Danio rerio: one gene and its partner. Each later gene encodes a partner of the first gene's protein in a complex. Links are inferred from orthologs where the notes say so. Each region holds a gene or a part of one and is shown on either strand. Other genes may lie near its edges.

Region 1 (6,683 bases):
GATAAATTCTATACATGTGCATGTCTTCTCATACACACTGACTTAAACAGCTTTGTCTGTCTGTGTGTGTGTTTGGGCCTCTGGCAGCAGTTAATACTGTTTATCTAACCTTGACCTCTGCTGCTTCCCCTACGCCTCTGTTTCCCAAAGCACTTTTACACACTAATCACTCTGATGGAAAAGTGTTTACTACATATCTGAGATGACTTACTATCTCATTACTAAAAGCTTCCACACGCTTTGATCTGGGGCACAATCACAGCACTCATTTTGTAATTTAATTATGTTGTTGAATATTTGTTCTAGAAAATATTTGTACCTATATTAGAGACAGTAGTCTACATTTTCTGAGTGTCTTTGGTTTCTTGGCTTTTTATCAGATTGAAAAAGGTTCCCTCTCACATCCGCAGGAGCCAGAGCTGACAATATTATTATTAAAAAGAAATCTCTATAGATTTGCAGGCAGACAAGATCCACAGGACAATTCACATCAGCACTTCAAATCAATTCAGTGGCTACTTTTCATCCACTGCAAAAGCCTGGAGATATTTTTATTTACAACTGGATACTTCTGGCAGGCTTTGAGCAAATATCTAATGTCAGCTCTTTCTTTGGTGCCAATCTGACTTTGTTCTCAGTTGTATTATTTATTTGTGTTTATATTTGCTTTTCGTAATATTTAGCAATATTGAATGTGATTGACATGATATGTATTTATTTGTGACATGAAAAATTGCTTCCGTTTGTCGTTTGTGCTTGGGAAGATTTTGATTTATTTTTATAGGTCAGGTAATAATTGCTGTATTTATTTTAACAAACAGTAATATAAGCATAATATAAAACTAATAAATAACTAATAAAACTAATAATAAAAAAGGTTTTTTGTTAAATTTGTTAATTCTGCAGCTGCAGAGATGATTTTTCTGCAGCCATTCATTATTCAAAGCCTGAAAATCTTTTAAATATTGTGATTTAGAGCTCATTAAATATTAAATTTTAAAAATAAACTATATTATTTTATATTATATTATATTATAAACTCATTATGTTATATTATAAACTCATATTATATTACATATATTACATATTTCAATGATCATTTTTTAAAAATATAGCAATAAATATACTATTTTAAATACTTTAACTAATTTAAAACAGCAATTTAATATAATTATTTTAAAATAACAACAAAAAATAATTTGAAGGTCATTTATGAAATATTTCTTATCACAACAATGAAGACACTGAAAATATTGTTATAGAAGCAGATTTATTTGGTTTGGTTATTTATTTTTCTCTGAATTCTTGGAAATCTTGATAGTTCAAAATAAGCAATTATTAGGATTTTTGTTATAGTAGGCAGTTCATACAGATATATATTTTTTATATTTTTCAGATTTATATTTTTCTCTCTGAAATCTTGGAGTTATATGAAGTTCAAGATAAAATAAATTAAGTTTTTTAATAAATACATGCAAATTTTTTTGAAATAAGTCAGTAAATCTAATATTGAATACAATATTTTTATGAGTTTAATACCTAAATAAACAACAATTTATTTCAATTATGTAAAAAACATAAAAAATAATTTGAAGCTCATGAAATATTTCTAATCACAACAATGAAAACATTTAAAATATTTTATAGAAATTGATTTATTTAGTTTTTTCTCTCTAAAATCTTGGAAATATAGAAAGTTCAAAATAAAAGTGAATTTTAGTTGCTGTAAAATTCATACAAATGTTTTTTGAAATACAGCAGTAAATATAATAATAAATATATTTTATTACCTAAATAAAAACAGCAATTTATTTCAATTGAAACAAAAAATAATAATAATTTAGAGCACAATAGTTATTTTTAATCACAACAATGAAGACGCTGAAAATGTTTTTATAAAAACAGATTTATTTATAAAAATTTTTTCTGCAAAATATAGAAAATATAGGGATATAGAAATATAGAAAGTAAAAAAAAAGCAATTATTGCTTTTGTTTTTTTGTTATTGTAATAAAGCCATACAAATATTTTTAGAAGTATAGCCATAAATATAATATTTTTAATAACTAAATAAAAACAGCCATTTATATCAATCATAAAAAATAAAACAATAATTTGGTGCTCATTAAATATTTCCAATTACAACAATTAAAACACTAAATATTTTTATTGAAACTTTTTTTTTTTTTTTTCAGAAAGCTTGGAATTATTCAGTAGAAAGTTCAAAATAATAACAACTATTAGGATTTTTTTGTTACTGTAATGAAGTCATAGAAATAGTTGTAGAAATCTAGCAATACATTTAATAAATATAATATTTTAAATAACTAAATAAAAACCACAAATTGTTTCAATAGTAAAAGAAATTAACGCAATTAAATAAATGCCAAATGGACAATCTCACATTAAAACAATTCAAATAAAATTTTAATGCACGCCGCTAAATATTTCATACAACACTGATCAGTTGAACATTTGTGTGTCTATTCTGCAGGATTATCCATGAGGACGGCTACTCAGAGGAAGAGTGCAAGCAGTATCGAGCTGTGGTCTTCAGTAACACCATCCAGTCCATCATGGCCATCGTTAAAGCCATGACCAGCCTCAAGATCGAATATGAGGACAGCGCAAGAGCGGTGAGTACACACTGCATTCCCTCAGCAAATAAATCACACACATCCACTGTACAGTAACACACACACACACACACACACACACTCTCTCAGATTATCTCAGAGGCCCTCCAGAGTCACATGATCCTGCTCTACAGCCAGTTTTTTGACTGTCAGCATGCAGTCTGATTAGTTTTCTTGCTACTGTTGAAAAATGCGTGATAGTAAAAACTCTGTAAAATTAAACTAGTTCAGGGTCATGTTCTCTATAGACACCAAGCAGATGCATTTTCATAGTAAAGAGCTGAATTTGGAAAACCACAGCCTCTTTAAAGCTGAAATTGTGTAATTTTTGAAGTGATGATTAAAAAGTGATGATGTACATTTAAATATAAATTAAATGTGGTGAAGGGGGGTTGGGGGGTGTTGTCGCGAACTCAAGAGCGGGGTGTGGGGGGTGTTGGTTGAGACGAAATGAAGAGCGGGGGGTGGTTGTCGCGAGGGCACTTCAGATCAGTTTGGAAAGGCACTTTCTATCCAACACTAAAAAGGGCATGTGCACCGCACAGGTTGAGCCCTATATGTGCATGTGTGTGTGTGTGTGTGTGTGTGAATGAGAGACAGAGAGAGCAATGCTGTGCGTCGCTTGGTTCTCTCTCTCTTTCTCTCTGTGTGTGCGTGCGTGAGAGCGTCCGGCGCAGAAGAATACAAACAAGACAAACAGGTGACCGCGATCCTAAGGTTGCATATATGGTATTCAGTTTCTGAATGGTTTAGGCACTAGCCAACAGTTTAGTGATGCTGTCTGAGCCTTACGACATATTTTTAATTGTGCACGGTAATACCGGATACCGGGGTAAAATAGGGAGGAGGTTTGACGGTATCAAAATTTGGATACCGCCCAAGCCTACTGTCGACTCATTCACTCCGGACACGCTTATACTTCTAAAAAAAAAAAAAAAAAAACTACACGCAATGGTTCAGAATGGTTTGCTAAAAAAAAGCACAGCATATACCGTTAGCGTATCTGGACACAACCTCAGAGCGCCTGTAAACACATACTTGTAATGGTTGCCCCACCTCTGAGCTCTTCTGATTGGTCCACTGCTATGGAACTGACAGTAATGAGCAACACTGCATGTGAAAGTTGAAGTTCTTTTAACTTCGTGTGGCATCTAAAAAACCCCAGCTCTTCAAGTCCCGAGACACGGCCACACACGTTCATTAAGTTCATCTCTACATTGAAAAAAATAGAAAAGAAGCGCATTGGAGAGCATCATCTTTTAAATTCGAGAAAAATACAAAGTAAAAGTCCTATTAGTAATCCATTGTCTATTCTTCCTGTAAAGGACTACAGATCCCTCATAACGCAGCAAATGTTTTATTCAGCTTTTTATTCTCTCTATGAACTTATCTTCAAGACTTTCATGAGGACAGATGAAGCTTAAAGCAAGGGAAAGAAAGAGAATAAGGAAGTAAGAGTGTTAGTTTGCTAGCGCAGATCTAAAGAGAACAGCCTGAAGGGCAGCAGTATGTTCAGTGCATCTGATCCACCTGATGCTCTGGAGAGATACACTCCATCTCTGTCAGCACTGATTTACACTCGCCATATATTACGTCACACCACAATTTACAGTCAGTGACAATCTATAGGGTTAACGCTGTCTAAATGGAAACAAGTTGGACATAGGAGTCTTGAGAGAGACGTGTTATTAAAAGTCCTAATATCTTTTTAAAAAGCAGCAGAAGACAAGAATATGGCTCTTTTAAAAGGAAACAGAGCCTTTATTTTTGGTGTGTAGCAGCAGTGTATGGTTTAATTAGGCGGGTGATGGGAGAGATGGATGATTGTGTCTCCGCTTAGGGAATTGAGCTGCAAAGTGCTGTTAGAGAGGCTAACAACATCTCTCCATCACATTTAATTAGTGAGAGAGAGATCTGTTGGAGACATTCCTCAAGTGTGTCTCGCTCTTGCTTGCTTTCTCGTTCGTGGCATGTTTGATGAGAGATGTGCTCAACCGATGACTGGGAAGTCAGTGGGTCGTCTGGATAAGTAGTTAACTAGTGCGTGTTGAGGAAATCCTGGGTTATTTAGCTAGTCTAATAGACTGCATACAGTTAGATTTCTGAGCCATTTAACGTGAGTTCAAGGGCTGAATTTGGAAACGCATCAACCTTGTGAAAGCTGAAATTCATTTGTTCATCATTGATGTACATGTTTTCACACAATTTTCATACAATTTTCTCAAATTAGTTGTCCTGAATCAGCTTTATACTTCTTTAATGAATGATTTGCATGCATTGAAAACAATTTATCAAAAAGTTTAAGCCATAATTAGGGTTACTGTTTTATTGTAGGGCTGGGTTAAAAAATATCAGGTGTTGTTTCAAATTACCATGGAGAGGGGTCAATGTAAATGAAAATTTAAGAAATGTTAAATAACCACACTGTAAAACGGAATTATTGTTAATAGTTATTTATAAAAATCAAAACTGTAAAACAGTTAATAATAGTAATAATGATAATAATAATTATTATTATTATTATTAATATTATTATCATTATTTTAATTATATTTATTATTATTATATCTTTATCATCGATGTTGTTATTTTAATAATAATAATTACTATTATATCATCATCATTAGTATAAATATTATTGTTATTATTAATATCATTAATATTATTATTTTAATAATTATTATTTCATCTTCATTATCATTATTATTATTATTATTATTATTATTATATTATGTATAATATTGTAAATAATAATAATCTAATAATTATTAAAGTAATAAATATATTATTACCAACTACATAATAATATTAGCAATAATAAAAATCATCATAATATTTATATAATAACAATAATTTTATATTATTATTATTATTATTATTACAAACTTTCGATTGAAATTTATTTACTGTTTTACTGTCATGATTTTTAAAACTATTTTATAAAATACTTTTTTACAGTACAGTTGTTTAAAATGTCTTTTTCATTTGTTAATATTATTAATATTAACTAATATTATTGATATTATTTAGTATTTCATTTTATATTGTTAATATTGTTATTATTCATAGTAATAATAAAAATATTAATGATGGTGATGTTAGGCTCAATTATGTTCAAATCAATAATATCAGTTAGTCTCAATTAGGCAAAATTAGGCTCAAATCAATAATATAGTTAATTAATAATAATAATAACAATAATAATGATAGTTGATGTTGTTGTTGTTGTTATCACCATCATTATTATTATTATTTTTATTTTTATTATTATTATTATTATTAATATTGATATGTAGCTAAAATTATTGATTTGAGCCTAATTGTGAACACGTACACGCAAGCACAATAAACCTGGAATACATTTTTACAAATTACAAATGCATTTTTTTCTTTTAATCAAAAGAATCATAATTAGATTTTTCCCCATTTGGTGCAGCCATACTATTTGCAGATATCAGTAATGACAGGCAGTTGAGATGTTATCTATAATTGATTTTTTAAAAGAGATAAAAATCGAAATATGTAAATGGTCTTCAAAAATTTCGACCATCCCCATGTTTTATTGGCTCTTTAATTAGAAACACTGTGCGCGCAACGCTGAGCGTAAGACAGGAAGTGGAGCATCAGCAAGCATATCTTTAAACCATATGAGAGTGCATGTGTTAGCCATATGTCACAGTTTGTGCAGTGTGTGCTTTAGACACGTGGAAATCAACATCCCATGGGACTTATCGCTGTAACTCCTTATTTCCCCCCCTCTTTCTTCACTCCTGAGGCCGTAAATCTTTTAAAAGGCCTATAACTATCTTCTATTCATATCTACAGCCTTTTTTCCACCAACTATTAAAAGGACTTAAAGTATTCCTGTCTCACAATATTCCTGTTTCGAAACAGATATTCCTTGAATTTTCAAGTTTATTGAATTTTGAATTGCAAAACACTGAGCTGTTTAACTTTTACGAAGTGTAATCCTACAGCAGTACACTGTTTTTGCCCCATTGATTTCCATTATAACCACATTTTCTGACTGCAAAGCCATGTTTTGCA
Region 2 (5,811 bases), on another chromosome or scaffold:
AAAAGGACGGTGATTGTGAATAATTGTGACTTCAGTTGTATGTTTTTTTTAATAAAATTTTTATTTATATTTAAAATAATATATATTCTAAATAATATTTTTATAAACACTTGATTTAATCTTCTAGGGCTTACACTGTAAAAAAAAAAAAAAAGTTGGGTTCCACACAATTCCTTCATGCTGTCTAAACACAAATCGATTAGGTTAACTTTATTGTTTTTCCAAATTTAAGTTGATTGAACATAAAACAATGAAGTTATCCCACAAAAACCCTTAGGAATTGTGTTGATTCAGCTTATTTTAAATAAGTAGTTTGAAGAAGCAGCAAAAATATTATAATATAAGTGTCTATTTAAAATACTTTGAATGTTTTATATTTTGTTACAGACATACGGTGTCATCCTGCAGATGTTTTGCAGCATATGAAATGTCCCAAACCCTCGTTTATAACTGTCCAAAAATGGACAAAAAATGTTTACTCTCTGATAGTCAAAAGATATTTAATAATATATATGTTAAATATGCATTAAAAACATTCAGGAAAAAGTGTTTTATGTAAATTCGGACCACAAGTCCCACATATATGGACATCATTTTTTTCTAAAAGTACATCATAAAAGATCATCATAAAAGATGATACTTAGATTTTTATTCTAATTACGTTCCAATAAGCCCAAATAGCAAAGAGAAATAAAAAATGCATGTAAAAACACCTTGGGCTTCAAGAGGTTAAGGCTTTTTACATATCTGGACTAGAAACAAGCCAAAACCCTAAGTAAAAAGCACATTTTTTTGCAGTGTACATTATTATAGACCATTTCAATGCGGTGATGCCATTGACCCATGAACATTTCCTGCTTGTTGTTAAACTATTTTCTAGCTGTAACAAGAGGCAATTCAATCATACCTTGACGTTAAAACAGCTATCATAACATTATTTATCAATATGTGGACATTTTTGGATTCTCGGAAGCTATGGAAATAAAAATGTAAATCAGGAAATAAGTTAGGACCATTGTTACTGTTTACATCGCTCAAAATGTCCCGAATCCTATTTTTAACTGTCCAAAATGGGGAAAAAAGGTTATTTTTACTCTCTAATAGTCAAAAAAAAAGTTTTAAAAAAATGTCTAATGTTAAATATGCATTAAAAACATTCAGGAAAAAGTGTTTTATGTAAATTGGGATCACGAGTCCACATATATGGACATCATTTTTCTCTAAAAGTACATCATATCAAAAGATAATACTTAGATTTTTATTCTAATTAGGTTCCAATAAACCCAAATAGCCAAGAGAAATAAAAAATGCATGTAAAAACACCTTGGGCTTTAAGAGGTTAAGGCTGTTTACATATCTGGACTAGAAACAAGCCAAAACCCTAAGTAAAAAGCACATTTTTTTTGCAGTGCACGTTATTATAGACCATTTCAATCCAGTGATGCCATTGACCCATGAACATTTCCTGCTTGTTGTTAAACTATTTTCTAGCTGTAACAAGAGGCAATTCAATCATACCTTGACGTATAAAAATGTAAATCAAGAAATGCGTTAGGAGCATTGTTATTGTTTAACTCCCTCAAAACTGTCATGGTTCTGTCTTATGTTTATTTCATTCTTACTTTCATTCTTACTTTCTTACACTCTTGTTTGTTTTCTCTTTGTGAGTGCATTGGTTTGAGTTAGCTTGAACAATGTATTTTTTTCTGTGTTGTAAGCGCACAGCGTCAAGTCATCTTGAGCTGTGTACTTATGTCTGTAATTTGTTTTGTGTTCAGCACATGGCTTGTGTTTGGTCTTTTCCACATGTGCTCATTTGTCTATTAATTAGACCCCGCCTGTCTTGTTAACTCATTATCATTTTGTTAATTTGTTTCACCTGAGCTCCTCGTTTGAGACTTTGTTTGCCCCTCTATTTATTCTCCCAGTTTGCTGTTGTCTGGGCTGATTCGTTTCTCATGCTACATGTAGTTAGATGCTTGTCTGTTTTTCTGTCCACTTTGGTTTTATTTTGTTTTACTTAAAATGACTATTTACCCTACCATGGGCTTGTTGTTTTTTTCAGCCCTTTTGGCTGTTATCTGGGCTCTGTGTCCAGTTTTTTGTTCCTAATTAATAAACTTTATTTTGTATTGCTGATTTGCGTCTGGGTTCTGTTCACACACCTGACTAAAACAGTCTCAGGACTCATCATTTCATTATGCATTCTTTCATTCAGGACTTCATTACTTCACCCAGCAGGACTCATCAATGGAGCAAACAACGCAGCTCAGCTTCTCCAACAGCAGCGTCTCCAACAGTTCATCCTGTTCTCGAGACGGCGCTCTGAAAACCATCGTCTTCCCCGTCCTCTACTCCATCCTCCTCATCCTGGGATTATCTCTGAACGCTCTGGCGGCTTGGGTTTTCCTCCGGATCCCCAGCAAATCCCACTTCATCATCTACCTGAAGAACATCGTGGTGGCCGACATCATCATGACCCTCACATTCCCCTTTAAAATATTATCCGATGCCAATGTAGCGTCCGTGGGCATCCGCATTTTTGTGTGCCGCGTGTCCTCCGTGCTCTTCTACCTCACCATGTACATCAGCATCCTGTTCTTCGGTTTGATCAGCATCGATCGCTGCAGAAAAACCATGTGGCCGTTCGTAGGCACCAACCCCAAACGTCTACTGCACAGAAAACTGCTTTCGGGAGTCATCTGGACGTCTCTCCTGGCTCTTTCGCTCCCAAATGTAATCCTAACCAGTCGTCCGAATATTGGAGAGCGCTTCAAATGCAGCGATCTCAAAACTGAGCTCGGACTGCGGTGGCATGAGGTGGTCAATCATATATGCCAGGTCATCTTTTGGGGAAACCTTATAATCGTGATCATATGCTACACGCTTATTTCCAGAGAGCTCTACAAGTCGTACGCCCGCACGAGGTCTCCGCGTGGGACGCAAAGCAAGAAGAAACACATCCAGGTTAATGTGTTCCTGGTGTTGGCCGTGTTTTTCATTTGCTTTGTGCCGTTCCACTTCGCGCGAGTGCCCTACACCATCAGCCAGACGCGCGCCCTCCTGTTCAGCTGCCCGCAGAAGCTGTTTTTCTTCAAGCTGAAGGAGAGCACGCTGTGGCTGTCCTCTCTCAATTCTGTGCTGGATCCGCTCATCTACTTCTTCCTCTGCAAGTCCTTCAGGTCGTCGCTGTTTAATGTGATGCGATTGGCTCCGGGACGCTGCAGGATCCTGAGGGAGCTCGGGACAGATTCGGCCGGCGATCAACAGGGAAACGCACTGACATGATGGACAAAACACGGACACACACATGGGAAAAACACTGGGGCTTGTTCTGTAAACATGCAATTATACAATGGGCAAGTGTTTTTCAACCACAGATACACTTCCGGTCAGAGGTTGATGTGTTCTTAAAGGTCCTGTTGAATTAAAATAGAAAAATGTCGATGTTATGCTGCAAAAAAAGCTTTCCTTACTTTGATTTTTTTTGTCTTTTTTTCCAGTCCAAATATCTAAAAATTCTTATATCAAGAAGCATTTTCTAGACAAGCAAAACATGTTGTCTTGTTTTTAGAAATAATGTGCTAAAATTAAGTCAGTTTTTCCTTTAAACAAGCAAAATAATCTGCTAATGGAGTAAGAAAAAGGATCTCGCTTTTCCTTTTGACTTCCAGGAATATTTTTCTTACCCCATTGATAAACGAAGAACCAGTCAGTTTTCATAACGGATAAACAGCTCTCTGTAATATTTCAGCATGCTTTCACTTTCGTAACATGAAACTCACATTTACTGATAGTAATGACATTCGCCCTACTCATAATTCTTATTCCAACCCAAGCTCATTCTGGAAACGTAGCCCCGTGGACATTTCTGGAGACCGCGATTTACGTGGCCGGAGGTACGTAAAGGGCGCGTTTAGTTTTTTCAAGCGAACGCTGCGGGGCGGTGTGGTGCCGCTCCGCCCCTCCTCTTTGCGCTCGCCGGCCGACGGCTCGCCTCCGAGTGGAGGGCTTTCCCGATGCAACCAGTTTGTCCGCTTAGCTCACAGCGTTGCGTCGGCGGAGCGGAGGCCCTGGAGGAGGAGGAGGAGCCGGCCATGGTGGACGACGACCGGGATCGAGTCCAGGGAACAGCGGTTCCGGAAATCAGGTAAGACGAAAAATGGAATCCGAAAAATAAGGCCGAGAATGCGGCGGGATCCGAAAACTTGGTCGAAATCAAAGACGAGGGCTTTTGCTTTTTTTTTTTTTTCTGGACGGCTTTTGCAAACCGTTGCTCGGGTTTAGGGAAGGAGGAGGAAGAGGAGGGCGGCCGAGTCGGCGGCTTTTCGTGGGAGAACGGTGCGGGCGCAAATGGCGCGCGCTCCCGAGAGGCGCCCGAGACGCGAAAAAGCATGCACAGCGGCCTTTCGCGGATTCGCGAAAACAAAAACCGCTCGAATACATACCTCCCGGGACGTAAATCGCGGTCCGCAGAAACGTCCGCGGGGCTACGTTTCCACAATGAGCCCGGGTTGTCTTATTCACATAGCCATATATGCCGATTACATATCCATAATACACTGTAACATAGGCTGGTTCGTAAGTTCACTGGATCATATAGCTTTCTCATTACAATCAATCCGCTTCAGAGTTCGTTTCATTTGAGCCGAGTCCACCTCCTTCAGGCGATCTCGGACCAATTGTTTTGGTGTGGATCAGAGTGTGATTGCTGGATTCACATATGCCAAACGAACCGCGCTAACTGGAGAAACGGGCCAGGTTCCAAAACAAAAGTCTAGGTGTGAAAGCACCCTAAAACAAGATGGAAACAAACCAACCTAGGCTCATTCTGAAAACGTAGTCCAGCTGATGTTTCTGGAGACCGCAAAATACGTCCGGAGAGGTACGTATTTCTGCAGTTTTTGTTTTCGCGAATACGCAAGACGCCGCTGTGTGCGCTTTGTCGTATCTCGAATGTCTTGCGAGTGCCGTTCGCGCCTGCGCTGTTATTGGGTGAACCCACCAGAGGCCACTGTCTGACTGACCGAATGATTGACTGCGCAACCGGCCAATCGGCTGACCCACCTTCCTCCTTCCCTAAACCCAACCAGTTTTACTGATTGTCCCGCCCGCCCGCTCACTTTCCTAAACTCGAGCAACAACTTAGAAAAGCGTCTAGAAAAAGAAAAGCCCTCGTCTGATTTCTTTACCACGTTTTCGGATTTCACCACGTTCTCACCCTGTTATGAACTCGTTCACTTTATTTTTTGGATTCTGTTTTTGTCTTACCTGATTTCTGGAAACCGCTCTTCCCCGGACTCGAACCCCGTCGCCGTGGTCAACTCCTCCTCTCTGCATCTGAAGTCCGCCGGACGTATTTCGCGGTCTCCAGAAATGTCCACGGGACTACGTTTTCAGAATGAGCCTGGGTTAAAACAAACCCAAAATGGAAGTGCCTTCTGGAGCAGCAGACAGGCACAGAAACTCCAATAAAGATACTGTGGTAAAATATATTTCCATCTTTTTAAGACATGAAACTGAACAAAGTAATTTAATGCAGCGCTTCATGTTTAGTCTGAGACCCACTTTATATTGTATATCAATCAAGCAGTGACGATCATTTGTTTTTTTCAGATCTTAAATGCAGCGATATACTCGACAGGCAATCCCAAGTGTACAAATCTCACAGTTTGCCATGGCAATGTTGTTGTCATCAACTTTATAATACCTCCAGGCTGCAGACATACTCACACTTACCACTTGAAGCTGATTCTGTGTTCTACTTTGCCGGCATTTAACCAATCGCATCTCAGCGACAAAGTGATGTCA

The links. Proteins that work in one complex are often made in the same cells at the same time.
Region 2: the proteins of gnai2a (region 1) and p2ry12 are in contact, whole or in part, in a cryo-EM structure (PDB 7XXI), measured with the Homo sapiens proteins. The link is inferred for Danio rerio from reciprocal best matches to the Homo sapiens genes GNAI2 and P2RY12. Residues at the interface, in NP_002061.1 of Homo sapiens: Arg24, Glu28, Ala31, Arg32, Leu195, Glu319, Ile320, Tyr321, Phe335, Phe337, Asp338, Ala339, Thr341, Asp342, Ile344, Ile345, Lys346, Asn348, Leu349, Lys350, Asp351, Cys352, Gly353, Leu354, Phe355; in NP_073625.1 of Homo sapiens: Phe59, Asp121, Arg122, Lys125, Thr126, Pro129, Phe130, Thr132, Asn134, Pro135, Ile212, Leu216, Ser219, Tyr220, Arg222, Thr223, Arg224, Val234, Lys237, Ile241, Leu301, Cys302, Lys303.

What each region holds. Positions count from the first base shown.
Region 1 is NC_133186.1:37,324,072-37,330,754, forward strand, and holds part of gnai2a (guanine nucleotide-binding protein G(i) subunit alpha-2a), read left to right. Parts: intron 1-2,494; coding exon 2,495-2,636; intron 2,637-6,683. UniProt on the Homo sapiens protein: Guanine nucleotide-binding proteins (G proteins) are involved as modulators or transducers in various transmembrane signaling systems.
Region 2 is NC_133190.1:1,138,994-1,144,804, forward strand, and holds the end of p2ry12 (P2Y purinoceptor 12), read left to right. Parts: intron 1-1,560; exon of another isoform or gene 1,561-1,581; intron 1,582-2,171; exon of another isoform or gene 2,172-2,218; 5' UTR 2,219-2,250; coding exon 2,251-3,288; 3' UTR 3,289-3,580; downstream 3,581-5,811. UniProt on the Homo sapiens protein: Receptor for ADP and ATP coupled to G-proteins that inhibit the adenylyl cyclase second messenger system. Not activated by UDP and UTP. Required for normal platelet aggregation and blood coagulation.